Linked DNA regions of Arabidopsis thaliana. The protein of the gene in region 1 interacts with the protein of each later gene in a biochemical or structural test. Each region holds a gene or a part of one and is shown in the gene's direction. Other genes may lie near its edges. The genes, in order: Hsp81.4, TPR7 and TOC64-III.

Region 1 (10,147 bases):
CTCCAGAAAATAGTTCCAAAATATTAGTTCAAACGAAAACATAAAAAAAAAAGATAAAAAGATAACCAATGTCTCAACACCCCTAATGATTAAGTCGACTGTGTGTGATAATTTAGTCAACTTCCTCCATCTTGCTACCTTCAGCATCGGCATCATCTTCAAGTGGAGGCATGTCAGCATCGGCTTCAACAACATCATCGTCATCAATGCTCAATCCAAGCTTCAACATCCTGTGAATCCTGCTCCCGAAAGTGTTGGGCTCATCGAGGCTGAAACCAGAAGTGAGAAGAGCGGTCTCAAAGAGAAGAAGTACAAGGTCCTTCACAGACTTGTCGTTCTTGTCTGCATCAGCTCTCTTTCTCAGCTCATCCATGATGGAGTTCTCTGGGTTAATCTCCATTGTCTTCTTGCTCGACATGTAGCCACCCATGCTGCTGTCTCTCAAGGCTTGAGCTTTCATGATCCTCTCCATGTTTGCAGTCCAGCCATACTCGCCTGTTACAAGACAGCAGGGTGAGTCCACAACACGGTCAGAGACGATAACCTTCTCAACCTTGTCTCCCAAAACGTCCTTGATCACTTTGCAGAGTCCCTCAAACTTCTCCTTGAGCTCTTCTTTCTTCTTCTTCTCGTCTTCAGTCTCATCCAGTTTCAGACCTTCCTTGGTTGCAGAGACAAGCTTCTTTCCTTCGAATTCCTTGAGCTGACCAATAGCATACTCATCGATAGCGTCAACCATGTAGAGAACTTCAATACCCTTCTTCTTGAGCTTCTCAAGGAATGGAGAGTTCTCAACAGCCTTCTTGCTCTCACCAGTGATATAGAAGATATCGTTCTGACCTTCCTTCATCCTTGTCACGTAGTCCTTGAGACTGGTCAATTCATCACCGCTCTTGGTTGAGTGGTAACGGAGCAACTCAGCAATCTTGGTTCTGTTTTGGGAGTCCTCATGGATACCGAGCTTCAGGTTCTTAGAGAAAGCCTCATAGAACTTGTTGTAGTCCTCCTTGTTCTCAGCAATCTCAAAGAAGAGCTCAAGACACTTCTTCACAAGGTTCTTGCGGATGACCTTGAGGATCTTGTTCTGCTGCAATGTTTCTCTTGAGATGTTGAGAGGAAGATCTTCAGAGTCAACAATACCCTTGACAAACCCAAGGTACTCAGGAATGATGTCTTCACAGTTGTCCATGATGAAGACACGACGGACATAGAGCTTGATGTTGTTGGGCTTCTTCTTAGTGTCAAAGAGATCAAAAGGAGCTCTCTTGGGAACAAAGAGGATAGCTTTGAACTCAAGCTGTCCTTCAACTGAGAAATGCTTCACAGCCAAATGCTCTTCCCAGTCATTGCTCAAACTCTTGTAGAAAGCAGCGTACTCCTCCTTGTTGATCTCCTCTGGCTTCCTCATCCAAATCGGTTTCTGCTTGTTCACCAAATCCCACTCATGAGAAACCTCCTTAATCTTCTTCTTTTTCTTCTCCTCCTTTTCTTTCTCCTCATCAACTTCCTCAACCTTGCCTTCCTCATCCTTCTTCTCTTCCTCCTCTTCATCATCAGAGATCTCCTTCTCAATGGTCTTCTCAATCCAGAGAGAGATTGGGTAGCTGATGAACTCAGAGTGCTTCTTCACCAAATCCTTAAGCCTTCGCTCCTCAATGTACTCCATCTGGTCTTCCTTGAGGTAAAGGACCATCTTAGTTCCTCTACCAAGAGCCTCACCAGAGGTGTCTCTGGTGACGGTGAAAGATCCACCGGCCTGAGACTCCCACACGTACTGCTCATCGTCATTGTGCTTGGTAGTAACAACAACCTTGTCAGCAACCAAGTAAGCAGAGTAGAAACCAACACCAAACTGTCCAATCATGCTAACATCAGCTCCAGCAGCCAACGCCTCCATGAATTCTTTGGTTCCAGATCTTGCAATTGTTCCAAGGTTGTTCACCAGATCTGAAAAATAAAACAAAAACGTATTAGCCAACACACCAAACACATAAATAATCAACGAAAACCAATACAAATTGCTTTTGACTGAAATCAATTACGTACCAGCCTTGGTCATCCCAATACCACTATCGATAATCGTCAAGGTGTTGTTAGTCTTGTCGGGAATGATGTGAATGAAGAGCTCTGGCTGACCATCGAGCTTGCTCTTGTCTGTCAAGGACTCAAACCTAATCTTGTCCAAAGCCTGTTTTCACCAGAGTAAAATCACAATCGTAAGTAACCAACCAATACACAGAACGTATATACAAATTACATATAAGCAAACTTTGTAAATCTAACAAGAGTCTGCTTAATCGTTGGTATCAACACTAAAACTAATCAACAGATTTGAACACAAACAGCTTCGCAACTTCAATTACCAACCAAAATTCTAAAATCGGCTAGAACACTAAACCCTAATCAATCCTAAATCTACAGATCGAACAGCCAGATCAATCAAACGAGACAGACAAGTATAAAATAAGGTGTAGAGAGATAGAGATCGTACATCAGAAGAGTTACTGATGAGTTCACGAAGGAAGATCTCCTTGTTAGAGTAAAAGGTATTGATGATGAGGGAGAGCAACTGGTTGATCTCAGCTTGGAAAGCAAAGGTTTCTGCGTCCGCCATTCTCGTTGATCGGAAAAAAAATCTAAGAGCTAGGGTTTATGAATCAAATCGAGAGATAAAGAGAGCAAAATTTTCTTTAGAGAGCAGAGAAGTGTTGATTGATACGAGACTTTGGGGAAGGATGTTATTATATATAGTGGTGTGGGGACTGGGAACCTATAAGGGTTTCTAGATCCTTCCTATTTGATTTATGTTAATTTGCTTTTCAGGTCCACATAATCTGCAATATAATTAAATGGAAATTACAAAATACAAAACTATTTTTTGGTAGAAAAATACAAAACTTTATTAAATTTTTTAAAATTTTATTCCCTTTTATTTTATTTTGGAGAACAGGTGTAATTTACTACTTTTTGTAACAGGTTTTAGTTTACTTCTTTTTTTTTTTGGTTAAATTTTGTAATTTACTATTTTATTTTATTGGTTGATGATAATTTACTATTTATAAAAAACAGTCAGATTTAATTCTACTCCCTTTTTATTTTGCAGAACAGGTGTAATTTACTACTTTTTTGTAACAGGTTTTAGTTTCCTTTTTTGTTAATTTTGTAATTTACTATTTTATTTTATTGATGATAATTTACTATTTTAAAAACAAAGCAATAATTTTATTTTTTGCTTACAACTTTTTTTTTCCTGTTTACAGATTGGTATGTGTATCTTTTAATAAAGTTTCAAAAAAATCAATAATTAAATAATAATATTGAAAGTTGTAAAATAAATAAATTAAAACAATAACAAAAAGAAACACATATTCTCTAAAAAGCGTGGGGTTTGTGGGGAGAAAAAATTGATTTTTTTTTTTTAACTTCAGAATTGATTAAAACTTTTTTTTTTTTTTTAACACAACTATTTATCTTGTTGTTATAAATTAAATACATAACTAAAATTTGAAATAAAATTTTGAGATATCTTGAAACTAAGGGATTAACTTTATCGATTTCAAAAAATAACCCAAAACTAGGACCGATCTAAAAAAATCTAAACATAGATAAACTAGAATGAATGGGAACTTGTAAATTCAAATCCATAACAAAATCGAATTTTGTATATGGAGAAAAACATTGTTTTTATTGATTAGTTTAGCTAATAGAAAAATTTAACAAAAAAAAAAAAAAAAAAAGTAAGTAGCACTTGTTCCAAAAAAAAGGAAAGTAAAATATTATGACAATTTTTATATTTTACAATTTCCATTATATTATGACGTCTGTTTCCACATCCCCTATATATTACACACTTTTCCCCCTTAATCAAACCATCAATACTTCTCTGCTTCTCTTAAGAATTTGCTTTTTGATTCACATAAACCCTAATTCTTAGATTTTTTTCCCGATCAACGATAATGGCGGACGCAGAGACCTTTGCTTTCCAAGCTGAGATCAACCAGTTGCTTTCCCTCATCATCAATACCTTTTACTCCAACAAGGAGATCTTCCTCCGTGAACTCATCAGTAACTCCTCCGATGTACGATCTCTCCCTCTCTGTCTTTCTATGTTTATCTTTAAGCTTAATGTGTTTGTGTATCTCCTTCGATTGATTTGACGGATCTATGTGTAGATTTAGGTTTTATTAGGGTTTAGTGTTCTTTTCGATTTGAGATTTTCGTTTGTTAATTGATGGAACCTTTTCATGTTCAAATTTGTTAGATTACTTAGTTTTTGATTGTATATATGTTGTGTGTATTTTGTTACTTATGATTGAGCTTTTTATTCTGGTGAAACAGGCTTTGGACAAGATTAGGTTCGAGTCCTTGACGGATAAGAGCAAGCTCGATGGTCAGCCTGAGCTTTTCATTCATATCATTCCGGACAAGACTAACAACACCTTGACCATTATCGATAGTGGTATTGGGATGACCAAGGCTGGTACGTAATTGATTTCATTCAAAAGCAAGTTGTACTTGATTTCATTCAAAACCATTATCTATGTGTTTGATTTGTGTTTGCTGATTCGTGTTTGTTCTATTGTACAGATTTGGTGAACAACCTTGGAACAATTGCAAGGTCTGGTACCAAGGAGTTCATGGAGGCATTGGCTGCTGGAGCTGATGTTAGCATGATTGGTCAATTTGGTGTTGGTTTCTACTCTGCTTACTTGGTTGCTGACAAGGTTGTTGTTACTACCAAGCACAACGACGATGAGCAGTATGTGTGGGAGTCTCAGGCCGGTGGATCTTTCACGGTGACCAGAGACACCTCTGGTGAGGCTCTTGGTAGAGGAACAAAGATGATCCTTTACCTCAAGGAAGACCAGATGGAGTACATTGAGGAGCGAAGGCTTAAGGATTTGGTGAAGAAGCACTCTGAGTTCATCAGCTACCCAATCTCTCTCTGGATTGAGAAGACCATTGAGAAGGAGATCTCTGATGATGAAGAGGAGGAAGAGAAGAAGGATGAGGAAGGCAAGGTTGAGGAAATTGATGAGGAGAAAGAAAAGGAGGAGAAGAAAAAGAAGAAGATTAAGGAGGTTACTCATGAGTGGGATTTGGTGAACAAACAGAAGCCTATCTGGATGAGGAAGCCAGAGGAGATCAACAAGGAGGAGTACGCTGCTTTCTACAAGAGTTTGAGCAATGATTGGGAGGAGCATTTGGCTGTGAAGCATTTCTCTGTTGAAGGACAGCTTGAGTTCAAAGCTATCCTCTTTGTTCCCAAGAGAGCTCCTTTCGATCTCTTTGACACTAAGAAGAAGCCCAACAACATCAAGCTCTATGTCCGTCGTGTCTTCATCATGGACAACTGTGAAGACATCATCCCTGATTACCTTGGGTTTGTCAAGGGTATCGTTGACTCTGAAGATCTTCCTCTCAACATCTCAAGAGAAACATTGCAGCAGAACAAGATCCTCAAGGTCATCCGCAAGAACCTTGTGAAGAAGTGTCTTGAGCTCTTCTTTGAGATTGCCGAGAACAAGGAGGACTACAACAAGTTCTATGAGGCTTTCTCTAAAAACCTGAAGCTCGGCATCCACGAGGACTCCCAAAACAGAACCAAGATTGCTGAGTTGCTCCGTTACCACTCAACCAAGAGCGGTGATGAATTGACCAGTCTCAAGGACTACGTGACAAGGATGAAGGAAGGTCAGAACGAGATCTTCTACATCACCGGTGAGAGCAAAAAGGCCGTGGAGAACTCTCCCTTCCTAGAGAAGCTCAAGAAGAAGGGTTACGAAGTCCTCTACATGGTTGACGCTATTGATGAGTATGCTATTGGTCAGCTCAAGGAATTCGAGGGAAAGAAGCTTGTCTCTGCAACCAAGGAAGGTCTGAAGCTGGAAGAGACTGATGACGAGAAGAAGAAGAAAGAAGAGCTCAAGGAGAAGTTTGAGGGACTCTGCAAAGTGATTAAGGACGTTTTGGGAGACAAGGTCGAGAAGGTTATCGTCTCTGACCGTGTGGTGGACTCACCTTGCTGTCTAGTAACAGGCGAGTATGGCTGGACTGCAAACATGGAGAGGATCATGAAAGCTCAAGCTTTGAAGGATAGCAACACGGGTGGTTACATGTCAAGCAAGAAGACAATGGAAATTAACCCAGAGAACTCGATCATGGATGAGCTGAGAAAGAGAGCTGAAGCGGACAAGAACGATAAGTCTGTGAAGGATCTTGTGCTTCTTCTCTTTGAGACCGCTCTTCTCACCTCTGGTTTCAGCCTTGATGAGCCCAACACTTTTGGAAGCAGAATCCACAGGATGTTGAAGCTTGGATTGAGCATTGAAGAGGATGATGCCGTTGAAGCTGATGCTGAGATGCCTCCGCTTGAAGATGATGCTGATGCTGAAGGTAGCAAGATGGAGGAAGTCGACTAAATATTGCACAAAGTCGACTAATATTAGCGGTGTTAAGAGTTTTGGTTCTATCGTTTTACATATCTTTGAGAATTTTTTTCTGCTGTAGTTTCTTTCTTATCTTGAAGCTTTTTCTCTGAACTCGGTTTTATGAAAAAGATTTTTTTATGCGAAAGGAACTCTGTTTCTAGCAAATCCAAGCTGATTTTTTGTCAGGTCATATAACTTAGTTATGACCATATTTTGCTAACCAGAATTACGCTAATCATATCTCACACAAAACCGTTACATACAGTGGTCATATATTAATGTAAGTATATAACAATATTAGTGTTTATTTAACTAAAATAAATTTTATTGCTGATCTTTTTAAAAATTATTTTTGCTATTACATGTTTTTAATAAAAGAAAGCTAAGAAACATATCATTATTGCTATAAACCCCACTAATTATAGTTGTTTTGAAAATAATATAGTTATTTTTTTGTAAAAGATATACATGTAACTTCAGCATTTTCATCGTTTTCTATTTTTGAAACTAATCAAAAATAATAGTAAGAAAAAAACTTTTATGAAATATATATAACTTATTTTCTCAATATCTCTTTAGTATATTGATTAATTTATGCTTCTTAAGCCATATTATTTTTAATTTAAAGCCATATATAAAATAATTATAAGAAAATTGAAACAATAATTGGCAAAAAGATGCAAATTCCAGGTTAATTGAATCAGATGCAGATACAAAATTTGTAATTATAATGAAATCGTAAAAACATTAAATGAATTAAAGAGAAAAAAAATACGACGTAGGGTGCAAAGAGGAGATTTCATCTCAACGCATGGGGGTCATATTAGAGATTTGAAGCCAAATGATTTATCGAATAAACTTTAAAAAAGTTTTTTTATAAATGTCATGGGGGTCAGTTGACCCCCCTCCTATATAACTGCCTCCGCCCCTGGTTACATAATATAGAACAATTTCTTGGCACATGGACCTAAGATTGACACACATACAAATTATATTATACTGTACCATAGAAAATATACAATTATCTATATGTAACAAACAACTATATATAAGATGATTAAAATATATGTAATGATAGAATTCTATTATAATATAATGTTGTATACGTTTATCTATACACAGTTGATAAAATTTTCCAAAATAAACCATAAATTTAAAACTTTACAAATACTCATCTTACGTAATATATTAATATATGATAGCTTGAAATAGCCAAATTAACTATAACAAACAACTGTGATGGCATATTGCCGTGCAACAGACAAGTATTTACCTAGTTTACATGTTATTACATGATATTTTGTTGAAATTATTTTTGAATTTTAATAATTAAAATACTAATTTTTGTAGTTTTTTCTAATTTTTTTTAATTTTATATAGTTTAGAGTTATAATCTATTATTTTTCTTCCTTACAATAAACAAGAGAATTAATTGTTTTATTGTAGAGTTTCTACAAAGTTGTTTTAAATAGCATTTTTAGTTAATATTTATGTTGAAGACTATAAATTGTTTAAAACAATTATCATTAGTTCTCATTAATTATTTACATATGATTTATATTTAAATCGCTAAAAATATGATTATCATGTGTTTAATTCAACTTTAAAAGCACATTAACATCAATCAATCATTAATAGATCGAATGAGCTTGATGTTTTAGTTGGTCTTATAAATTAATTTCCCCGATAAACAAAAACAAATTCTCTCCGACCAGATAAAACATTACATGGTGATGCTTCAAACTAAAGTTAGCTTCATTACATCTAACAATTTCGACATTTCTGTGATCGAAGCTCGAAGTTAAATCAAACATAGTTTCTTTGGATTTTAGCTATCGTTTCCAAGGCAAATCTCTCATATTTTTTTAACCATAAAAAATAATCTTTTATACTCTTTTTATTCTTTCAAACCAATTAATCTTTTCCTATGAGGAGATTTTAGTTATTTGTGTGAGCATAGTTATGAAAACATGTAGACAATAATTGAAACCCAAATGTAAAAGGTCCAAATTTAAAGTTTTTGTGGTTTAAAGCATAAAATTGATTTTCAAACAATATTCATGTAAAAAATAATGTATAAAAAATAAAAACTAAATCATATTAATGAAATATTCTTATTGAAAGAGAAAAAAGCTGAAGAGAGTGCGTGAAGTATGGTTGTTGGGTTGAGTTGGCTTTTAGAAGCATTATTTGATCTTGAAGTTGAGTTTGTGTCTAGTATGGCTGAAGATAAGATGAAGAGTAAAAACTGTTTTTTCAAAATGAAAAGTGTTTGGTAGTATATATTTCTTGGAGAAAGAGATAGTCTACATAGAGCGTGAAGAACTTTTAGAAGAAGTTTCTTATTTCAGTCTTGTAAAGAAAAACAAGAAGAATGGTCTTCCATCTCGTTTATATGATTTATTTTTTATACGCTAAAAATATGATTGATCATGTGTTTTATTCAATTTTAAAAGCACATTAACATTAATCAATCATTAATAGATCTAATGTGCTTGATGTTTTAGTTGGTCTTATAAATTAATTTCACCGATAAATGAATTTTTTTTTCTCCGGCGAGATAAAACATTACATGGTGAGGCTTCAAGCTAAAGTTGGCTTCATTACATCTAACAATTTCGACATTTTTATGTACGAAACTTGTAGTTATATCAAGCTTAGTTTCTTTGAATTTTAACTATCGTTTCCAAGGCAAATCTCTCATATTTTTTAACCATAGAAAAATAATCTTTTATACTCTTTTTATTCTTTCAAACCAATTAATCTTTTTTCTATGAGGAGATTTTAGTTATTTGTGTGAATATAGTTATGAAAACATGTAGACAATAATTGAAACCTAAATGTGAAAGGTCCAAACTTAAACTTTTTTGTGGTTTAAAGCATAAAATTAATTTTCAAAAATATATATGTCAAAATGATGTATATAAAATAAAAACTAAATCATATTAATGAAATATTCCTTTGAAAGATAAAAAAGCTGAAGAGACGGCATGAAGTATGGCTATTGAGTTGAGTTGGCTTTAGAAGCACTGTTTGATCTTGAAGTTGAGTTTGCGTCTAGTATGGCCGAAGATAAGATGAAGAGTAAAAGTTGCTTTTTCTAAATGAAAAGCGCTCCTTGGAGAAAGAGATAGTCTACATGGAGCGTGAAGAACTTTTAGAAGAGGTTTCTTATTTCAGTCTTGTGTAGCAAAACAAGAAGAATGGTCTTCCTTCTCCTCAAGAAAGAACATGGAAGTCATTGAAGCATAAATGAGTCATTCTTCCATTGCCTTACTACAAACACAATGTTCCCCTCATCTACAATGGATGGGAAACTTGATTGGCAAGTCACTTCCTTTTGTATTAATGTAGGGTTCTTGGTGAGGGAAAATCGCTAATTCTTCAATTAGGTTTTTTTTCCCTTTTCTCACCTCTTCTTCTTTTTGGAAGAACATTATTCATGTCTCTGCTTCTCAACCATCCCCCGAAGCTCTGCTTTCGTATACCCTTGTTGGTAAGATCATCTCCTCTTCTCTCTAATGGCGTCTCATCGAAGATCCACTTTTTGTCATCATGTAAGTTGATTCTTGTGGAGCTGATCTCGGAAAACTCGTCATTAGGAGGGCTGGTGACATCACTCAGTTTTGACTAGTTTTGCTTACAAGTCACATATGAAATGACTAGTTTTGCTTGCAATCTAGAAATCCATTGAATTAATATTAAAAGCTAACTCT
Region 2 (11,039 bases), about 15 Mb from region 1:
AAAGTGCTTATTCTCTTGAAAGTAAGTCTCAAATTTTTATCCACCACAAAACATGGTATAAGAGATAAATTGTGTGTTTGTTTTTGTGTTTGTGTTTGATAATAATCTTAGAAGATGACTTCCAACAAAACAAAAAGGATTCTTATCACCACATAAGATTTTTCATTTTTGTTTTGATTGACTATAAATGGCCAAGGAAAATGAGGTTATGTAGAACTCAGGAAGAGGTTTGATAAATTTACTTTCTTTTTTGGGCATGGGGTATTTTGGGAATTTAAGGAAGAGAATCCATATGACACTAGTCTTCTGTTAAAAGCCTTTGTCTGCAAGTACAGTGGGGTCCACCTACATGAAGATCAACAAATGCTCATTTTAAATATTGTTTTTTATTAATTATTATTATATTTATATATATTGTACCGCTTTATATAAAAGTTTTGTTATTCGATATTTCGATTTAGTGACAAGAGAGATGCTACTCTGGTGTTACAAAAATTTACCGGTTATATATATTAATTTTTTCTCAAAGAAGATATCAGGATAAAATTCGTCAAAAGCTTAAACGACGGTTAAGATTTTGGTTGGTGACATGCAAAATCATTGTTTGATGCTAGCTAGTTATAATTATACTATACTAATTCATTATCGTTGATTGGCTTTTTGTTACTTTCATTCTGTTCATTACACATTATCCGTTTACTCCGAAAACAAAACAATGGTCTACTTTCATACGAGATTTGATCAAACTAGTCAAACCTTTACAAAACTGAAAATTTGGCTTGATCTTGATTCATGCCTAGCTAACAGCCATGATCTTATAAGAATGATATTTTATATTATTAGTAATAATTTAGTACAAATGTTTAAGGAAACTAAAATACATATAACGAAGAAACGCAAGTAAATCGACTATCAGAAATGAAAAAGTGGGTCAAAAAATAATAATTTGAGCTTTATTTGACTAAAAGACAGCCAATTATCTAATTGTATTATTTTTGATCAAATGCACGCAGAATTGTAGTAGTAGTAATGTATTTCACACTAAAAAGGGTTGTTGTTGTTGCACACTAGAGAGATTGACATCACGAGAGTATGAGAGAGGGAGAAGGTATGGTGAAAATGTGTCTGCAAGCAATACAGTGGGGAAATAACGCCATAAATAGTCCAAATTCGAGGTTTCTTTCAAATTCAACTATATCCCCCTTTCATTGTCAATACTATATAATTAATACGGCTCTTTTTCAATTTTACTTTCACACTCTAACTGTTCAAGTGGTAACTAGCTAGTATTCATCATGTGAAGTCGCCCAACAAAATGTATAATTGCTAGGCAAAATTGATAATATATCGGTGAAAGTTCAAATTACAGATTTGGCTGAATTATACAAGTCATCCAATACAAATTACATGTTCAGTGTGATGATCATTACCTTTTTTTGTGTCTTTAAGAACAAATTCAGCCACTTTGTATCTTGCAACGGCGTTGCTTTGTTCTTTACTAACAATCGGGTTAGCGACTGATCATACAAAGGAAGTCAATGGAGCTAACATGGTTAGTAATCTACTAATCTTCTACCACTTATTTGACGTCAAAACTACCACTATTTTTTTCGATAAAATCCACTTATTAATCGACCGCACCAACCACATATCATTCAAAAGCTATTCTGAATTCAGAAAACTTTATAGTAATTTTTCGTGTGGGTCGATAATTAAATTCGATGTCTAATAACTACATATGGGCCACCGGTAAAGTCAAATTAAAAGAATTGCGGCTTAAAATGATTTGCAAGTGTGAAATTTTTTCTTTTCTTTTACAATATTTGTTTTGTGTCAAAGAGTATTAGGCTTCTTTTACGATATTTTGATTTATATATCTGCGTATATTACCCTGAAGAGTGAGTGAGTGACAGAGGTATGGACACTGTTACCCAGTTTGTTTACTCCTTTATTTTCCCTTTGGCAGAGATTTCTCAGACTTCAGTGACAGACAGTGAAAGTAATTTCTGCATTACATACAAATATATAACATTATTATACCAGTGTCGCATTTTTTTATCATAGTCCATTTTCATGATTTTTTTTTACTTAACTTGTTCTCTCATCAGGGGAAAACAATATATATATTATTATTTTCAAACAGTAATATTATATATAGCCTTTTCACCACCATCCAATTAATCTTGCTGTTTAGATAAATAACTAAAACTATGTTTAATCGAATTTCTTACATATTTACTCTTCTATATATATAGATAAATAAACAAGAAAAAGTATATATCTTTAAGGTACGGTAACATTTTACAATTGACGTATATAGTAATTCGGTCCTTTGACCTAGGAACACATCAGTGATTTAAAACCACTGATTACACCATCATCATTCAAACACTTTCTATTTATATCACCCGAGACATGTGCCCCCATGCATCTCTCCGACTCCGACCGACGTTGGTTCTGCTACTGAGTCCACCAACATTCAATCATCGTTATTGTTTCAATAATCGATTTACAAAAGTTTAAAATTGAATTACCATGCCTTTAATTGTGTTGATGCTTGATGCATAATATGAGTCAAATTGACAGCTTTATGATTTAGCGATTTCTGATTTATCAAACATGTTTTGATAGAACGCACACTTGTTAATAACGTTTTAAATCGTATAGAATTTTATTTAATTATCAATAAATTAAAAAGGGTTGCATGAAATGAATATCAGCTTATTGTATTATAAAGGTAATTTTGACAAACATTTCAATTTTCTATATTGAAAGTGAAAAAGAAACCAATAATACAGATTAATTAGGTTATGTTATGGAACAAAGATAGAGTCAACGCTATATAGAGTAAAGAGTCGAAAGAAAAAAGAGTTTGGTTGTCGTTGGTAAAACTTGTATGTGAGAGTCAATAATTACTGCTTAAGAAAAAATATAGATGCTATACTTTTCTAGTGAAACTTCATAATTTTCTTTACATAATATCAAGGATTTTTGTTTCTGCGATTTATTTGTAAATTGTTCTTAATAAAATAAATAAATACTAACTTAACATTTCAAATTACTAAAAATCACTAAATATCTATATAAATCACAAATCAATAACATTTTTAATCTTTCACATGAAGTAGAGTTTATTTCTCCATGCCATATTATAATTATATGATGATACATAGTTTTTAGTAGAGAGGGTGGATCAAACATGAAATTATTTTACAATTCTCATAGTCCGTTAAAAAGATCGCCAGTCAAGTAGAATAAACACTTTAACAAAAAAAAAAGGTAGAATAAACACAAAATTGTCTATCTTCCCACTTTCTCAGCAGTAGGTGAGACAATTTCTTCCTTCGTAGTCAAATATTTTCAATAATTTTTTTGAAGTTCCACCAATTATATATATCTATATCAAAAACAAATTCTTTTTCTGTATAATTCCATTCTTTGTTTAATAATTTGTTTTTGTCAAAGACGATATATGTTGATTTAACGTCGTATTGGAAGAAAAAAAAGTAGTCTCGTTTCTTTTTTATTTTATTTTTGATATGAGATTTCTCTAAACTCTATAATTTTCAATCTGCTTCCTTTTTCCATTTGGAAATAATTGCTGTTCTCTAATTTATGGATTATTGTATGCATGCACATGCGCTTCGATATTTATCATTTAGTTGTCAAATTTGGACCACCCTACTTCCTCCGTGTATTTATTCACTTTTAATAAACATGTTGTCATTATAAAGATTTTTTATATAACATTTTCATTTTCATATACCAATGCAAAATATGTAATGTCGTCGGGTATAAGTATAAAGGTTTTTGTGAAAACTATCTCTTGTTCTAAAAGTTTATTTTGATTTATCTATTATTAGAGAGGTAAACACTTAACTTTTATATATATAGTACATGATTATTTTAAATTCCATATGTGTTAACGTATATAGGTATGTGAAATTAAATCAATCTATTGTATAAACGTACATAAATTGGTTATTTCTCCCAAAAGTGTTAAAAACATCGCACCATGACATGAGATACAATATTTGAAAAGTAAAGGATACTCGCTAAAAGAAGTGTAAGCAAAATTTTAAATATATATAGAAAAGTACACATGACAACAAAAACGAATCATAATTAAAGTTGAGAAAAGTAAAACTGAATCTGATAACATGCTAAACTTGTTTTAAAACGAGGAAAAAGAAACAAGATAAAATAAGCAGATAAAGACGAGAGATGTGAACCGTGAAGAAGTGGATAAAGATGCAAATAATTTTGGTTTTAGTTTTGTTGAGAGACCACCAATTCCACCAATCAGAGCCTTTTCTGTTGGATTCCGTTCACACCAATGCCCAAGCGAATATATTTTTTTTGGTCGTCACAAATCTAAATCATTGCATTTCTCATGAGGAAGAAATGCATTGATAAATCTGTAACTAACCTGTAACCAAGAAACAATTTGCTAAACACATCAGCATGCATCAGAAATTCGGCATTTGTAATTGTAGTCGCTAACTTGCTGTATATACAGAAACAAAATACTTAGAAATTAAGCTTTTACCTCTTCAGTGTCAAGACGCACCAAGTATGACGCCATGTCGATCTTTCCCTTCTTCGTGAACCAAACTTATCAAATATTTATTATCTGATTCAATATGACACTTGATAAACGTCACTCAGTTTATGAAACTTGCTAGTCTAGAAAGTAGAAAGTATTGCATAACGACATTATACAAATTGTTTCGAAGTCACTACATAGTTTACTTCCGTCAAATCTGTAAATTGCCATGAGTTTGTTCACAAGTATCATATTAGTAATACATATTAGAAATACAGGATCAGAGGACACAAAAGCTCTAACCAGTTATACAAATCCGGTATCAGAGAGCACTAGGAAACGAAAAATTAAAGGCTAAAATTATGCAATTTTTAAAATTCTAACAACCTTCATTCACCAAAAGATTTCCAAAACTGAAATCACCATAGAATCTTCAAAATCTAGTCTTCAGAATAAGAGTACAGTCTACAAGCGAAGAAAAAAAAAAAACTTCTTTGCACATTTGTAAACAAAAAGTTAGGCTAGTAAGCAACCATTCAAATGGTAAATGTTACCAAATTACCAATCAAGTCCACAGAACATACACACAAAAACGAAAGACCGGATTGATGGGTTAATGGAGGAAGGTGGGGGCTGACCGGCTGAGAAGTGATGTGACGGATCCTAATAAGAACAGCAATCGTACACAACTTGCTGCTGTGAAAGAGAGAAAGAGAAGTACCAGTGACAAGTGGCATGCCACGTGGGCCGGCGGTTTAGGACCCAATCAGAGTGAAACTGCCACGTGAGATCCTCTCCACGTCCCGACAACCATCAAAATTCAAAGCCTTCTTCTTTCTGTTTCCTCCATCATGCTCTTTAACTCATTTTTTCCCTAGCATATCAATTTTAAAAAAATAGTTTGCAATTTACGGCAATAAAATGTGGGCAACAAAAACAAAACTGAATATTTACATTCGTTTTCATTGTACAATAGAGGGTACATTCAAAAAATACAACTCACTCATTATCCTAGATTGCTTTGCCATATAATAGTAGAATACGTAAGAATGTGTCTACGATGTATTCTAAAGGATAACAAGGGCTATGTGAATTATAAAATCAAGGCTATATATGTGTATGCATATTTTGGTTCGTGTAAACATGTTAAAAAGTTGCTTTGTTGTAATCTATTTAGAAGCACATGCATGTTGTAATCTAGCTTCGAGAGATGTTGCACAACATGTATCAGAATGCTTTAGCAATATTGCTTTATTAATTATAAGTTGAAGATATTGTTTCCTTCTTGTTTGTTATATGATATAACTTTATTAATCCATTGGTTTCATTGTGACCAAGAAGAAGAGGTTTGCTAGAATTTCCTCGTTCTCGCTGCAATAGTACTTAGTGATTAGTTAATTGATAATCATAAATCATATCAACATTCACTTCTCTCAGACTGCTATCATTTAGTGAATCATAATCTCTGCTAATATTGAAAAATTGGGAGACGAGAGATAGATGAGAGTTGTAGCTAGCTTTAGTCAAAGTGGTCCTCTTCTAATGTGACTATACCACCGTTTCCATTCTTTCAAACATTGAAACATTTATGCTGCGGTGGAGAGAAATAAACATTTCAGAAAAATTAATTGATAGATGTACTCGTCGATGAAACTATATCGAAACAATATTGAAAAAAGTATTACCAAACACAACTTATATGTCACTAAAACTCGTCTTTTTTCTTTGTATGGTCAAAACACTAAAACTCGTTCAACAACTGAAAAGATTGTCGTATTGAAATAAAATTCTTTGCCCGAATAGTTGTACATATGTATTTTTTTGTTAAGATCATTTTGATATTTAAGATACTAAAAATTCTGCAGAAGACATGCATATTTTAAAGTTTAATAAATGGATTACTTTAGAGATTGAGTCTATGAAACTGAATACTAAACATTTTTGGATTCCAACAAATATATTATGGCTCTGAATGGTAATCAAAACCGCACTTAAAACCGCACCGCAACAGTACTGTAACAGTATTAAAATCTCTACATATTCATATGTATCTATATATTTTCGTTACTATTTGAACCGCACCGTACTTCTCCCGCACCGCAAAACGCAATCACCATTCGGAGCTTATATCATGGAGATGTAGCTGGGCAAACATATGATATCGATATCCAGACCCTAAAGAATTTTAAAATATCAAAAAATTATTTGTACCCTCAAACAAATTTAAATTGAATTTTATTGACACTTTAACACGTGTAACAGTTAAATTGGACGACTCTTTCTAAAACGAAATAAAAAAGAGTTTAACAAGAGATTCGTTTCAGTTTAAGAAGAAAAAAAACACGAGATTAGTCTTCCAACATGGACAAGGACATGACAATTTGCACGTAATCATATAGTTACGTTAATCAATACAATTACGTAAATTAATTTATTATGGCACGTCACAGCATCATCGTAGATCAAGGGTAAAACAGTCATTCTCCATCATCCAGGCATATTCCGGTCGGTGAATTGAGGAGGTTGAGCGATAAATTTTCCAATTCGATTCTATATTATTGGAAACTACTTTCGGGTCGGCAAAACAATTCTCCTTCGATTTTCCGATTCTCACAAACTCAATCTCGATCCAGATTCCGAGCTTATCCTTCTCTGGCGAATTTCGATTTTCTGTGTTTCCGATCTGATTACAGAGAACCACATCGAAGCTTCGAGAAAAAAAAACACGATGTTTAACGGGTTAATGGATCCTGAGATGATTCGGCTCGCTCAAGATCAGATGAGTCGTATGACTCCTGCTGATTTCGCTAGGATCCAACAACAGGTTTCGTTATTTTTCCTGATTCGAATTATTCGATCGATTCTGAGGAGAATTTGTTTGATTTGATTTGATTATGGCTTTGTATGATGAATTTATACCATTGTTTATTATACAGATGATGTCAAATCCAGATTTGATGAATATGGCAACAGAGAGTATGAAGAACATGAGGCCTGAAGATTTGAAACAAGCTGCGGAACAGCTTAAGCATACTCGGCCTGAAGATATGGCTGAGATTAGCGAGAAGATGGCTAAAGCTTCCCCTGAAGATATTGCAGCTATGCGTGCTCATGCTGATGCTCAATTTACTTATCAGATCAATGCAGCTCAGATGCTTAAAAAACAGGTAACAATTGACTTCCTGAGAGAAGTTTTCTATTGAATTTTGCTTTCCTGATTATAAAGTAAGGAACAAGAATGGCTTCAGCAAGTGGACCTTTGTGTAATTTGATGTTAATCTCATTTTCTACTACGTTTGGCAGGGAAACGAGCTTCATAGCCGAGGAAATTTCAGCGATGCCGCAGAGAAATACTTGCGTGTAAGTCTGCAGACGTATCTCATTTGTCATGCTACTTGACAAGAAGAGTTTTATTTGTAACCTGATATGCGATTCTTTTCTACTTGTTTACAATGCTCTTGGACCATATCTCAGGCGAAGAACAATCTGAAAGAGATTCCATCTTCTAAAGGTGGAGCAATTTTGTTGGCTTGTTCTCTCAATCTAATGTCGTGTTATTTGAAGACGAATCAGCATGAAGAGTGCATAAAGGAAGGTTCTGAGGTATATTCTTTATGCTCTTAATTTTCTGAAAACTCATAGATGAAAACATTTTTAGGAAAAAGAGAGATGGCAATCTTTTGGCTTCTTTTTTGTAGATGTAACACATGATGTCATACAGCGTTTTATGATCTATTCAAAACTGTTTCGACATTCTTCTGATAAATTTACATTCTTACATTATTTCAGGTTTTGGGATATGATGCAAGGAATGTCAAAGCCCTATACAGAAGGGGTCAAGCTTACAGAGATTTGGGCTTGTTTGAAGTGAGTTCTTCTGTTGCTTATGGAACTTTCTTGAGATTCCTTGTCGATATATATGTTTGTACTGTAGATATGTCCTGACTATATGTTTGCTCAATGCTCATTCACTCTCTTAAACTATAAGGATGCCGTCTCTGATCTAAGCAAGGCCCATGAAGTTTCCCCAGAAGATGAGACAATTGCCGATGTGTTAAGGTATGGATTTTTATATTCATTACTGGTAATGTCATACTTTTCAGTTCTGCTTATCTCAGAGGTTTTGATATTAACATTGAAAAAATAACTTTTGACTTGAAGTATTATCTTTTCTGATGCAGAGATGTTAAGGAAAGATTGGCTGTCGAGGGACCTGGCAAGGCATCAAGAGGTATAATATTATTCCTTATGATTTATTCGAAAGAATTCAGTGTATTATGTCAGACCAGACGTTTCTTTACTACATCAATGATATGCTTCGTCCATGAATATGGAAACGAACTGAAAAATGTTATGTTGTTTGGTTATTAGGTGTGGTGATTGAAGACATAACTGAAGAAAATAATGTTACTTCCGGAGAGAATAAAAAACCGTCAAAAGAGGCTAATGGTCATGCTCAGGGCGTAAAGACTGATGTTGATGGATTGCAAGCTCTCAGAGATAATCCAGAAGCAATCAGGTTCGACACCTTTCCAAACATTAGTGTTTGATGTGTTGTTTCATCTTTTTGTCTCCTAATCTTGAAGACAAATATAATCTAAAGCATCCTTTTTCTGCTACATTTGGCACGATTAGTATGATTTTCTAATTGTTTTTATTCTTTCTATGGCCTGCAGAACTTTCCAGAATTTCATTTCAAAAACTGATCCCGATACACTTGCTGCTCTAAGCGGAGGCAAAGCTGGAGACATGTCACCGGACATGTTCAAAACTGCGTCAAGTATGATAGGCAAAATGTCACCTGAAGAGATTCAAAAAATGGTTCAAACAGCCTCTTCGTTTAAAGGAGATAACCCTTTCGCCCCGACTGCGCCATCTACCGAAAACGGTTTTACACCCACACCTGACATGCTTAAACTTGCATCTGATATGATGGGTAAGATGTCACCAGAAGAGCGTGAGAGGATGTTTAACATGGCATCGTCTTTGAAAGCAAACGCTCCAGCTTCAACATCATACGGCAATGCAGAAGCATCTGAACCACGGGAAAGTTTAGGAGCGAGTGGGAGTTCTTCGGGAAATTCCTTTGTGGCTCCAAGAAGCGGTTTCGAACCAAGCATCCCTTCTGCTCCGCCTGCTGACTTACAGGAACAGATGAGAAACCAAATGAAAGATCCAGCGATGCGACAGGTTTGATCATTTTCGGTTTATGTTTTACCAATTTAGTCAACATAATGTGATTGTTGATGTTCATATAGTAGTTTCTCTGTATATTGGTAGATGTTCACGTCTATGATAAAGAACATGAACCCTGAGATGATGGCTAGCATGAGCGAACAATTTGGAATGAAGCTTTCTCAAGAAGACGCTGCAAAAGCTCAGCAAGCCATGGCTTCTCTTTCTCCCGACGCCTTGGAGAAAATGGTACGAATTCGGTTTAGTAAAACCAAAAGAACATTCAAAGTTGATTGTATAGTTGTCTCAATTGTAAACACGTTGTTGCAGATGCGATGGGCGGATCGGGCTCAAACCGGGATGGAGAAAGCGAAGAAAGCAAAGAAGTGGTTGTTCGGAAAAGGCGGATTGATCTTTGCAATATTAATGCTCGTTTTAGCAATGGTCCTTCACCGTCTCGGCTATATTGGAAACTAGAGGAAACAACGGTATCTTAAGGCTTAATCCTTCGTGAAGATAAAACCAGTCTTCGGTGGGTTCGTTTAGTTTGTAAAACTGTAACATCGTTTTATCTTCTTTTTCTTTCCTCTAACTCTCAGCTTTTTGTTAGTCCACTTGTGTCTAAATTTCTTTACACTTTCTTCTGTAGTGAATTTTAAATTAGAGAAAATACGAATATTTCCTTATATTCGTTATTTTATAAACATAATTATGCTTCTGGTAGAGCGCCTCTACAAGAAAATTGGTTATTTGCGTTGGGAGATTCTTTTAGCAAATAGAAAAGACCATTTCTAATGGTTGTCTCTATTTTTCTTTATAAATATAGAAGGAAAAATAGAGATTTTTATTTTCTATTTTTATATATAGAGAAAAAAAATAAAGATCTCTATAATAGAGGTAAGAATAAAGATGAGTTAGAGTAAAATAGAGGCAAAAATAAAGTTTAAAGACAAAAATAAAGATGAGTTGGAGATGTTCTAAAGAGAAAAGTTCGAGTAAAAAATTTTTTTTTCGCAATCCAACGTTTGCAAATTTTGCGAGGAGAAATTTTGAAATAAGTATATAAAATCATCTTAAACTTTATTAAATTCATAGATATTAAAAAAATAAAAAAACTTCATTAAATTTTAAATTATATTTTTTTTTGTGCACCCAAAATTTAGATAATTTAATTATTTTAATATACGACTGAATACACATTCTTCAAAAGTAAAAAATAAAGAAAAAACTTAGAAGGATGAAGTACAAGAGAAGGAAACACGTGTCTTAATCTGGGGCCCAGCTAAATCAATTCTTCGTTAAAATGTCTTTAATTAAA
Region 3 (11,572 bases), on another chromosome or scaffold:
CTGTACTGCATTCCCCGCTTGCAACGGATCAACTCCCACATACTGCACCATATCATTATCACAAAATGAGTACTCAGAAGAACAAAGAAAAAGATAACAGATTCATTTGATATCATCAGTATGTAGATAATGAGAATTACCTCAAGTCCACTCTCTAGCCCGATACCAAGTGCAGTCACTCCCACTCCTATCAATATAACATCCTTCCTCGTGTAACCAAACGGCGTCGTCTATAACCAAATTATTTCACAACAGAGTTTGCTTCAGGACTACTACGACGATAGATTATGATGTAAATTCAAAGAGATGGAGTGCAGACCTTGGTTTTTGTAGCAGAATCGTCTTCAGTTTCAGTAGAGTTTGAGCTAACTCTACATCTCATTCTCTGTTTCTCTCCCTTTTCTACTGATGATGACAATCTATGTCCCTCGAATCTATATAAGACTTTCTTCGCAGCTCCGAATCCTGCATCATCACAACAAACACAGGAGAGTTTTACAATCGCTTCAGCTTGAAATCCTTAAGTTTTATCGAAAACGATTATTGGGGGAGAACAGAACCTGTGGTTTGTCGCCCAACCGGAAGAAGCCTTACAGACGCAGACAGAACCTCCTGATTTCTGCATAGATTCGAAACTCCGAACGGTAAAGAAGCCATTTCTGTGTTTAAGCCACAACACAAGCCGTGGTTACTAGTGAAAAAAATAATGAAACAAAAATTTAAGGGAGGACGAAGAGATTACAGAGATGGATGGTTGATATTTTTTGGGGCCCATAGGCTTTTGCTTCTTTAGTGGCGCGTGTTTCTCACCGCCCAAAAGACATGCGTGTAGACATAATTGCCATCAGAATTACTCAAATACACTAATTGCTCTTTTTTTCCAAGTTCATGTGAACAATGGGAGATTCATTCGCTGCACAATTCACAATTTCACAAATGGGCCAAATGTTTAGAAGATATGAAAAAATAAAGTAACTTTAATATAATGTAAACAGTTTGGTTTTATTATTCTCCCCCAAAGAGATAAAATTAAAATCACTCTTTTTCCAGCCCAGTGAATCAAATGAACCGGCCCTTTATTCCCATCATCTAACACCTAAAACGTCCATCTATAAACTCAAGCTGAAAACTCAAACAGCATCGTGTGATTGTACTTCTCACCAGCCTTAACCACAACAGACGGGAAATTCGACTGGTTAATCGCGTTCGGGAATCCCTGCGTCTCAAGGCACACACCCGCATGTTTCCCGTAAACCGCATTCCCTTTCCCAACCACTCCATTCACATAGTTCCCGGTATAAAACTGCATTCCCGGCACATTGGTCCACAAGTTCAGTACCCTTGAGCTAGCAGCATCACTGAGCTTCGCTGCGTGTTTCAGCCCCTCCTTCTCTTGATCAGGACAGTCCAACACGTAGTTATGATCGTATCCGATACCAACCTCTCCAATAGACTCGCCTATCCGCTTCTCCTCAGTGAAATCGAAAGGAGTTCCCTTTACAGGCAAGATCTCTCCTGTAGGAACTGTGTATTCGTCAACCGGCGTGATATGAGACCCCCATATCTGAATCTTATGGTCTAGAATGTTTCCTGAGTCATGACCTGCTAAGTTCCAGTATGTATGTTGAGCTAAGTTGATGGGAGTATCTTTGTTCTCTGGAACAGCTTCCATGTCAAGTCTCATTGTCGTGGCTGACGTGAGAGTGTATGTCGCCGTGACAGAAACCGCACCAGGGTAACCTGTGGAGGGGAACCGCAAAACATTATATAGCTAATCTAATCCCACAGAAATCAAATGCTAGAGAAAGGATATGTCATTACCTTCTTCTCCATCGGCACTGTGATATTTGAAAGTGATGAAAGGTTTTTCGCCGTCTCTCTTGTGCCCTGCAACTTCCCATATCTTCTTATCGAAACCCTTGTTACCACCTGTACAGATAGAGTAACATTTTACGGTCCAAATCCTATTTAGTTCACAGAAAGTTATAGAGAAAGTATACAGAGAAGAGAATTGTTTATACAGACCGTGGAGACTATTAGGAGGCTTGTTGATAGGCAAAGTGTAGTTAACTCCATTGAGACTGAATTTTCCCTCCTTGATCCGATTTGCCACACGACCAACAATGCACCCAAAGTATGGTGCAAGCCCTTTCTGTAACAATCATATTCATAGATAAAACACACATATTCATTAACATTGTTACAAAGTCCATCTTATTTTGATAGTTCATCACAAAGTCATTCAACAAGGTACATGAATGACCATATACATTTCTTAAATTATGATTCAGACTCTATTCATGAGATCCAGAGGCAGTGATTAGAGTTTCGATCAGATTGATTGAATCTATGTCGAGATCAGTTCAAGGATTAGGTGAATTCGAGAGAAATTACCACATATGGATCCACCGAGTCGAATCCGAGAACTACATCCCCCAGTTTCCCTTCAAATAAGAAAAACAAAGACGATAATCAGAGGATTAGGATTTGGAGACAAAACAGAGATCATCATTGAAAGGAGGAAGAAGAGAACAAACCGTTCTTGTCGGGAACAGACAAAGAGGTGATGGTGGTGCCGTAGTTTGAGATCTTGACCTGCATGGTGCCATTGTTGAGCTCGAAGATCTCTGGAGTGTTTTTGCTCTGATCCGCCATTAGAGGGCTCGAAGACTAAATTAAAGGCTTTAAGATTAGAAGCGAAGTGATTGGGATTGAGATTTTTGATTGGGGAGAAACAAAACAGAGGGTGAAGTGATTAGCTTTGGTTAAAAGAGTTATAAAATCGTAATCTCGTAACTGATCAATGTTGACGTCATCCACATCCCAAACTATTTATCATTTTTACCCCCCAAACAAAAAACTATTTATCTTGGGGGTTTTTGTTTTTCGTTTTTTACACTTTAATGCATTTCTAAACTTTTTGAAAATCAAATTACTACCCAAAAGTTACCAAATTTACTTTCAGGAATTCAAAAGTTACCAACTAAAATCCAAAACTATAGAGATTAGAGAAAAGAACAAATGTAGAATTTGGATCTAATTTTCTAATTATCAATAATATTTTAAGTAAAAAAATATTTGATTAGTCAGTTATAAAATAAAAAATTTGATAAGTCGGATTATATGCTTTTGACAATAAGAGAAAGACAAAGATATCATCAGATAACAAGAAAATAAATAAAATATACTCTAAACATATTCAGTTTGACCCCAAAAAAAAACTCTATACATGATCGTAACAGAGTATTCGCGTGAATTTAGATGTAGTTTCTCTACCCTTTTTCAGGTATCCTATGAAAAAATCAATAGTACCTATAAAAGCTTACTTTGTTGTAATTTATCCTCTTTTCGTAAATTTTAATTTGCTACCATCCAACATGTCTCAGCTTTTACCCAAAGTTTACAAAAAAAATGTCTCTGTAAAGGATTTTGATTATTCCCATAACTAGAAACAATTAAATCAAATTTATCAAAAATATCAAAGCTCTCTGAGACATGGAAAGAAATAGTGTAACAGATGGCCAAGAGGACTTTAGCTTAAAGAAGCACAATCATTTCAAAAAGCAAATCATTTGTCACTTTCTTCTTCTTCACCTATCCATCCACAAAAACACTTTCCTTTTCCTCTCATCAAGAAACTCCCTAATCCGACGTCGTTCGTTTTAATTCAGTGACACAATCTCCCACATCTTCAAACCCTTTGAAACCAGCGATTACAGAGATGCAAGATCCTCATGTCCCATCTTCTCCAACTATCTCCTCCGTCTCTTCCTCCGATCTTGATACTGAGGTCAGTTCCTGCAATCTTATACTTAATAGATAATCTAATTAAAGATCAAGCTCTTCATGTGTTTTCTAAGCTACCCATAAAGCTTTATGCTATAAAGTATCAACCTTTAATTAGAAAACTAGTTTAAAGTTCCAAAGGTTATGTTTTCAGAACTGCCCAGAAACATATATATGTACTTGTTAGAACTTGATTTGGTTTTTTTATTGGTGATGTGAGGATTTAGTCAACAGGATCGTTCTTCCATGACAGAAGCATCACACTTGGAACGCTTATGGGATTTAGTTTCACTGCAACTATGCCGATGCCATTTAGAGCCTCTTCACGCCGCCACGTGTCACCTTCCGTCGCAATCTCACGAGCTTCTAGCTCCAATGCAAGACGCAACCACCAGAGAAAGCGTCCTCCTTCAAATTCGGCTGAGCCTGAGCCGCATCGCCGCCGTAAATGGTGGCGGTTTTGCCGAGATGACGATGACGACGCCGCCGGAAATGGAATCCACCGTGGAACAGGAGATTCAAAGCGGTCATCGCTCGGGGAGTATCTAGAGGTGGAACGGAGGTTTGGAGATGAAGCCGTTTACAACTCCGCCGAGGCAGAGCTAGAGGATGCGGTGGTGGCACGGTACCAAGATCAGCAGCCGGTGATGGGGGAGCGGGCATTGTTCGCTGACGGAAGGGTTCTTCCTCCGGCTTCAGCTGAAGTGGTTACCGGAGAAGGAACGCCGGTAGCCACGTCCCTTTGTAGATTTCCGGTATCTTTAACCGGTATATGCAGCGGTGGTGGAGGATGAATACGTCGGTTCATGTGTGTGTCTTTTATTTGTATTTAGACTTAAATTTTTGTATTTTGTTCGTCGAATCGGAATCATTGTTTGTGGAAAATATAACATGTTGAATGTAGTCATTGTCAAAGTAATTATTTGAGAAATAATAATGATTGATAAGGAGAATTATGAAGGAGATTAATTACAATGGCAATAGTAAAAGATAAGCATATAGAATGGCACACATGCACAGCTTTTGGTGTAAAATGGAGTTGTTCACTTGATTAGAGTTTTTATTTAAAATGCTAAACGTTGTTCTATCATATTGAGTTTTTGCTTCAAATTATTTCATCAATACGTCTTTATACTAGTCAGTCTTTGGACAATAATTTGACCAAATCAGATTTTGAGGCAAACACAATATGATTCTGGCCAGGAGTGTGCCACATTCGTGGTTAATTTTCCACTAGTATTTCTGAAAGTAAAACAATTAACCACAAATCATCCTCATAACATAAGAGGAGAAGATTCCTAACGACGAAGCAAAATTATCGAACAAGTGGACACACACAAGAAACCGAAAATACGGCAAAATGTTTGTTATGTGTATCCATATTTTATACCAATTGAATTAATAAAATAAACTGTAAAAACAAGAAACAATTAATAAAATTAATTTTTTGTTTTACAACGTGAATAAAAAACTGTTGACAAAACGAAAATAAAATAAACCCTCGAGTGATGTTAAAAAAAGGAAGAAGGAAAAAGAATAAAAACTCAAAGGGAACGCAACACACTAAACAAAAACTCTTTGGCGTCCTTCTCCTTAGGGTCTATCTCTCTTATCTTAAGCAGCAGCAGCAGCAGCTAGAACAAAAACGTCACCGATGGCGTCTCAAGCTGCGAATCTCTGGGTTCTTCTAGGTTTAGGTCTCGCTGGGATTCTTATGCTTACCAAAAAGCTGAAGAAGACCGTCCGTGAAGATTTCGGCGCTTTTATCGATAAACTCATGCTTCTTCCCCCTCCGCAACCTGCTCCTCCCAAAGCTCCTCATCCTCTCACCGGTCTAACCTTTGCCGTTTCCGACGTGTGAGTCTCCGTTGACTTGTTTCCCCCTTTCTTCTCCCATATGTTTATCATATCTATATTTGGGGGTTTAGCTGAATGATTTTTTCCTTGGGTAGAGTCAAAATTTTGTTTGACAAATGTTGGAATCTGCGTTGACTCGACTCGTAATCTTCTCCGGCGCACTACATGTCTGATTCTGAGCTTTCGAAAGTATGGTTGATTGATTTTGAGCCGTTTCACTGAAAATTGTGTTTGTTGTAGATTCAAATGTGTGTGTGTGTGTGTGTGTGTCTGCTAGTTTTGTCAAACTCATTTCAAATCGATACTTGTTGAATCTGTTCATTGGAAGGCTCTACTGTTTGATCTCTGTTGCTAGGTGTTTGTATGTTTTAGATTCGTCACCAAGTTTGACCTCGACTTATTCATGGAGTCCTACTTATAACTGTCTCAACATGTTGATTGACTATTTATCTAATCTGTGTATATCTCTCATTCTCTTCTATGATCTTTTGACTTTTGAAGTTCTTGAAAAGCTAATTTACTCTTTCTTTCCTTTTCATTTGTTTTCCAGATTCGATATTACAGGGTATGTGACTGGATTTGGTCATCCAGACTGGGTCAGGACCCATGAAGCTGCTTCGTCAACATCTCCTGTGGTTTCAACTCTCGTTGAAGGTGGAGCCACTTGTGTTGGAAAAACTGTAGTTGATGAGTTTGCGTTTAGGTTTGTCTCTGTTTCATAATGTTAAATTGTTACCTGTATCAGGATTCAGATTGTGATTCCAGTGTTGAAATTTTTATTTTATCAGGATGTTAGTATATTAATTCCTTTGTTTGGCTGTTTTCATTTTCTTCAGTATTAGTGGAGAAAACAAGCATTACGATTCACCTACAAATCCTGCAGCTCCTACTCGTATTCCTGGTGGCGCTTGCAGTGGAGCTGCTGTAGCCGTAGCAACAAATGCTGTGGATTTTGCTCTAGGTGAGTTCAGTAGCTACTTTTTTCCTTGTTTGGACAATTTGGTATGAGATAACCGTATCTTTGAGAAACAAAACATTGCATAAACTTTCAAAACATGGTCAATAATCTTCCTTAGAAAATTTCTGAAACGATTGATAATTTATTTATATTGCAGAAACTTATTTGGCATCTAATAGAATTGCTTGATTTAGACTCTTATGGCTATATGGTAAGATAGTTCCATGCGGATTTATAATTTATATGGTAGTCTGTCATTGGCTCCTCCTATCAGTATCTAAAATTTCAACTGTCTACTGGTTGGTTCGGTTTCAATTGTTTTCAGAGTATAGTTTTGATTACTTGCATCTTTGCAGGCATCGACACAGTTGGCGGGGTAAGAGTGCCTGCTGGATACTGTGGCGTTCTTGGATTCAAATCTTCTTATGGGGCTATTTCAAACACCGGAATCATACCAGTATCTTCAAGTCTTGACTCTGTTGGTATGGATATATAAATCTTTGAATTATACTGTTTGTGGTGGAATGATTTGGATCTTATATAGGCTAGGTTTCAATTGTTGTATAATCACATTGCAAGATTTAGATGCCTTTGTTCGTATGACTAATTTATATTTAGGACCATTAAATGAGCATTACGTTGATTCTGATCAATAGATTTTGGCTTCAGGATGGTTTGCCCGCGATCCAAACACCCTACGTCGTGTTGGCCATGTACTCTTGCAACTTCCATTTGCCACTCAACGGAATCCAAGGCAAATCATACTAGCTGATGACTGTTTTCAGCTGTTAAAGATCCCTGTGGATCGGATTACCCAGGTGGTGACCAAATCAGCTGAAAAGCTTTTTGGAAGTATGCCCTTTACTCTCCCTGAAGATCCTCCAGTCTCTGTTAGAAATTCTGATTATAATAGCATTATCTTGTTTTATATTTAGGACAATTGCTAAAGCATCAGAACTTGGAGACCTATTTTGAAACTAAAGTTCCTAGCTTGAAAGAGTTCGCTAGGACAAAAGCCATTGCTAACACGAAGGTCTCAACATCGAGACTACTGGCGAATGTGATGCAGCTCCTTCAAAGGTGTGCCTATTGTTTATTCACCTACAGAGGATGAAAATATCTTAGTTTTGAACACTCTATAACAATATTGGCATTGTAGGCACGAGTTCCTTCAAAATCATGGGGATTGGATCAACACAGTGAAGCCAGCCATTGATCCTGTGATTTTATCACAAGTGTGTGAGAACCCAGAACTAACCAATGAAGAGACTGAGAACCTGAATGCTATCAGAAACGAGACTCGAGTGGCTATTGGTTCACTTCTCAAGGTATTCCTGCTCTTCCATGACATGTCCACAACTTGAGCGAGTTAGTTTATATGTCTCTTGACTAATCTCTAATGGTTCCCAACTCTGTAACGTTATGTATCAAGGATGATGGCATTCTGGTAATTCCAACATTGCCAGCTGTTCCTCCAAAACTTGGTAGCAAGGAGATAACATCTGAAGACTATCAAAACCGAGCTTCAAGTCTGCTTAGCATTGCTAGCATATCAGGATGTTGTCAGGTTAAATCTCTCTCTTTCTCTCTCTCACCTGCCATGCTAGTAAAGTTCCCCTCACACATGTTAAAAGCAACCACTGACCAGTCAGTGTTAGCAAAACCAATCCACAGTATATGTGTCTTACATTTATCGTGCTGATGATTCAGGTGACTGTGCCACTCGGACATCATGAGAAATGCCCTATTTCAGTTTCTTTCATAGGAAGACACGGTGGTGACCGCTTTTTACTAGATACAGTGCAGACAATGTATCCATCTTTGCAAGAGTACTCGAGTATTGTTACCGATCCCAAATCTTCTAAAAAGGCTATCACCAAAGAAGAGTCAGCCGAGATTGCCAAAGAGAAGGTCAATTAATATCCATTGCATGTCTCATTTTCTTAATGGCATTATCATCCATAATCTAATGTGGTTATTATATCTTTGTGTCCCGTGATTATGTAAACCAGGGTAACCAAGCGTTCAAAGAGAAACTATGGCAGAAAGCTATTGGTCTATACTCAGAAGCTATAAAGCTAAGTGACAACAATGCTACCTATTACAGTAACAGAGCTGCTGCATATCTTGAACTTGGAGGGTAAATGTTTCTCAGATCCTTAAAAATACTTTTTAGTGAGCAAATCTTTCTATGTGGCATTGCCTTGACAAATCATTTACATACAGCTTTCTTCAAGCCGAAGAAGACTGTACCAAAGCCATCACCCTCGACAAGAAGGTAACTTTCATTAAAACACAGAAACAGGTTTCTCTTGAAAAAAAAACACTCTTTACTTTGTAAGAACACACAACACAAAGATCGTTTTTGATTTCTTTCAGAATGTTAAAGCCTATTTACGAAGAGGAACCGCAAGAGAAATGTTAGGCGATTGCAAGGGAGCCATAGAAGGTAAGCTTTAAAGAACATAATCTGATTGTTTTTTCGCCTTGTAGAATCTGGCAGAATATAACATAAACTCTGCAGATTTCAGATACGCACTTGTGCTGGAACCAAACAACAAACGAGCGTCTCTCTCAGCAGAGAGACTGAGAAAATTCCAGTGAGCTTCTTTTGTCCGTACCTCACCGATCATTGAGAAAACGTTTGTTCCTTAGAATTTGTCCAAGAGTATAGGCCAATTTTGTCAACACTTGTCTTTTGCGTCTGATATTTAGGCATTTTATCTAGAGATACCTTTTGCAAGTCCGCCGAGAATGGAAAATTATAATATCCGATGTTTATTTTAAACGTTCTCTAAAATTGGATATCAAAAAGTAATGTTAATCTTAAACACCGGATACCGGCATTCCCGGTCGACTTCTAGTCAGCGTAGCGTCAAAAATAAGGTCATGTCTTTAACTATCTTGTCTTTATCATTTTCTTTTCTCGCACGTTATCTCCTCCCCACGACTCAAAAAAAATAAACAGAAAAAAAGAGGAGTAGAAACCAAAGAGACCTGCCCTAATATTTAGCGATGATAGTTTGAACGGAACGAAATCTGACGAAAGAAACTAAAGAGACCTTTGAATTATCTTCACGGGTGAGTTGGTTCGTTTAACCTTTTTTCTTTATCTCGGTTGTGCTTTTCCCCGAGAATTAAACGTGTGTTGGTTGCAGCGTTAACAAAAAAAAAGGGTTGTAGAAAGTGAGTAAGGAAGAAATAATCAGGAACATTAATAAAGGAAATGACAACGGCGTGTCCGGCGAGGACAAGCTCACTAATGGACGATCTCTTGGGCCTCCTTAGAATCCGTATCAAACGTGGCGTCAATTTAGCCGTCCGTGACATCAGTAGCAGCGATCCTTACGTCGTCGTCAAGATGGGCAAACAGGTTAATCCATTCATCATTTTACAACTTCACATGCAATTTCATTACATCAAAAACATTCTCAAATTATCATATTAAATCTTACAGAAATTGAAGACTCGTGTCATTAACAAAGATGTTAATCCAGAATGGAATGAAGATTTGACTCTCTCCGTCACAGACTCCAATCTTACCGTCCTCTTGGTACTTTTTACTTACTAAAACATACATTAATTTCCTTATCATAAGATGTTTATATTGATAAAACTATAATGTTATATGTAGACGGTGTATGATCACGACATGTTTAGCAAAGACGACAAGATGGGCGATGCTGAGTTCGAGATAAAGCCCTATATTGAGGCTTTGAGGATGCAACTCGATGGACTTCCTAGTGGAACCATTGTGACCACGGTTAAGCCAAGTCGTCGTAACTGTCTAGCCGAGGAGTCACGTGTCACCTGGGTCGACGGCAAGCTCGTCCAGGATCTCGTTCTCAGATTGCGACATGTGGAATGCGGAGAGGTCGAGGCTCAGCTTCAATGGATTGACCTCCCTGGCTCCAAGGGTCTATGAATCTTTTTTCTTTTCTTATTTACCGTTACTTTGAGTTGTTTTCTTTCAAATTGAACTAAACCAAGTAACAGCATGGAAAAAAACAAGTAATTTCAATCTTGAAGGATATAGTGAACTAGAAACACGTATTAATCCATGGAAATATAAGGATTAAGAACGTTGAGGGAAGTTTTGTTCCCATATGGTGATCGAGTCCAAGTCGAGTCGTGGTGGTGGATATGTAAATGTGGTGTATTGTTGATGTGTATGTATATTTGGGCTAGCTATGCCTTAAATAAGGCATTTACACGAACAACTAATACAGATATTTTATTTATTTAATTATCGTTCCATATACTTATGAATGGTAGATTGTTTTAACACATGTGATGTACTAATGTTTATAGGTAAAAAGTGAAAAAAAGACCAGCATATTACCATTTACCATCGACATCGATAGGCCTTTTTTAAACCATTGACATTGGAGGTTTTATGTGTACGTTACTGAAGCACAACTTATGTAATTTTTGTGAACAAGATTTACTTGTACATTAGCGCTAATTAAGGTCATAAAGAATAATGATGAAGAAAGAATAAAATATCGAAGGGAAAAAGCCAGAAGCCACAAAAGGGATGGTAGGTGAAGAGAATCCAGATGTACACTAATGAGTGAAGCACCATGGTTTTATAACGACAAAACACGTGAGCCATAATTGTCCTTTACTATGAGTGGCACGGCGACTTTACAATAATGTGTCAAACGACCGTGACAAGAGTGAAGTGTAGTACTAGTATGTGATATTTTTCTCTATTTAATAAAGTAAAAGATTCGACTGTAGTATGATAGTATTGAGATATATTCTAAATTATGTATAAAGTTTGATAGATCCCAAGGGACCCAAATCTCGTTCCCCAATGAGCGATCTAGAGATTCCTCTTCCACCAACTCCCCAAAGTAGTCAACATTTTTTTACCAAAACAACGATTTATTTGTAGAATAAAATCTGTCAACATATATATTGCATATAAATGCAATTGCAAATGTAGTTAAAAATATATATAAACCA

The links.
Region 2: the proteins of Hsp81.4 (region 1) and TPR7 form a complex in vitro, tested with the Arabidopsis thaliana proteins (one study listed by BioGRID).
Region 3: the proteins of Hsp81.4 (region 1) and TOC64-III form a complex in vitro, tested with the Arabidopsis thaliana proteins (one study listed by BioGRID).

The regions. Positions count from the first base shown.
Region 1 is NC_003076.8:22,673,877-22,684,023, reverse strand, and holds Hsp81.4 (HEAT SHOCK PROTEIN 81.4), read left to right. Parts: upstream 1-3,871; 5' UTR 3,872-3,956; coding exon 3,957-4,079; intron 4,080-4,338; coding exon 4,339-4,480; intron 4,481-4,587; coding exon 4,588-6,422; 3' UTR 6,423-6,686; downstream 6,687-10,147. Other genes in the region: HSP81-3 (heat shock protein 81-3), read right to left, coding at 113-1,947, 2,047-2,188, 2,492-2,614. UniProt on the Arabidopsis thaliana protein: Molecular chaperone which stabilizes unfolding protein intermediates and functions as a folding molecular chaperone that assists the non-covalent folding of proteins in an ATP-dependent manner.
Region 2 is NC_003076.8:7,266,121-7,277,159, forward strand, and holds TPR7 (Tetratricopeptide repeat (TPR)-like superfamily protein), read left to right. Parts: upstream 1-6,950; 5' UTR 6,951-7,274; coding exon 7,275-7,370; intron 7,371-7,482; coding exon 7,483-7,713; intron 7,714-7,849; coding exon 7,850-7,906; intron 7,907-8,020; coding exon 8,021-8,149; intron 8,150-8,335; coding exon 8,336-8,413; intron 8,414-8,534; coding exon 8,535-8,605; intron 8,606-8,727; coding exon 8,728-8,777; intron 8,778-8,917; coding exon 8,918-9,065; intron 9,066-9,222; coding exon 9,223-9,736; intron 9,737-9,826; coding exon 9,827-9,970; intron 9,971-10,051; coding exon 10,052-10,198; 3' UTR 10,199-10,459; downstream 10,460-11,039. UniProt on the Arabidopsis thaliana protein: Plays a role in protein import into the endoplasmic reticulum (ER). May function as chaperone docking protein during post-translational protein translocation into the ER. Chaperone receptor mediating Hsp70-dependent protein targeting to chloroplasts.
Region 3 is NC_003074.8:6,142,590-6,154,161, forward strand, and holds TOC64-III (translocon at the outer membrane of chloroplasts 64-III), read left to right. Parts: upstream 1-5,316; 5' UTR 5,317-5,440; coding exon 5,441-5,643; intron 5,644-6,193; coding exon 6,194-6,346; intron 6,347-6,479; coding exon 6,480-6,604; intron 6,605-6,957; coding exon 6,958-7,083; intron 7,084-7,270; coding exon 7,271-7,453; intron 7,454-7,536; coding exon 7,537-7,681; intron 7,682-7,760; coding exon 7,761-7,929; intron 7,930-8,033; coding exon 8,034-8,168; intron 8,169-8,311; coding exon 8,312-8,512; intron 8,513-8,613; coding exon 8,614-8,741; intron 8,742-8,827; coding exon 8,828-8,879; coding exon of another isoform or gene 8,880-8,942; exon of another isoform or gene 8,943-8,980; coding exon 8,981-9,050; intron 9,051-9,125; coding exon 9,126-9,205; 3' UTR 9,206-9,493; downstream 9,494-11,572. Other genes in the region: DAC (uncharacterized protein), read right to left, coding at 1-42, 141-230, 320-465, 561-657; AT3G17940 (Galactose mutarotase-like superfamily protein), read right to left, coding at 1,118-1,740, 1,822-1,929, 2,026-2,152, 2,395-2,444, 2,538-2,655; AT3G17950 (uncharacterized protein), read left to right, coding at 3,722-3,790, 4,014-4,580; C2 (Calcium-dependent lipid-binding (CaLB domain) family protein), read left to right, coding at 9,828-9,974, 10,059-10,154, 10,236-10,526. UniProt on the Arabidopsis thaliana protein: Chaperone receptor mediating Hsp90-dependent protein targeting to chloroplasts. Bi-functional preprotein receptor acting on both sides of the membrane. Not essential for an efficient import of pre-proteins into plastids.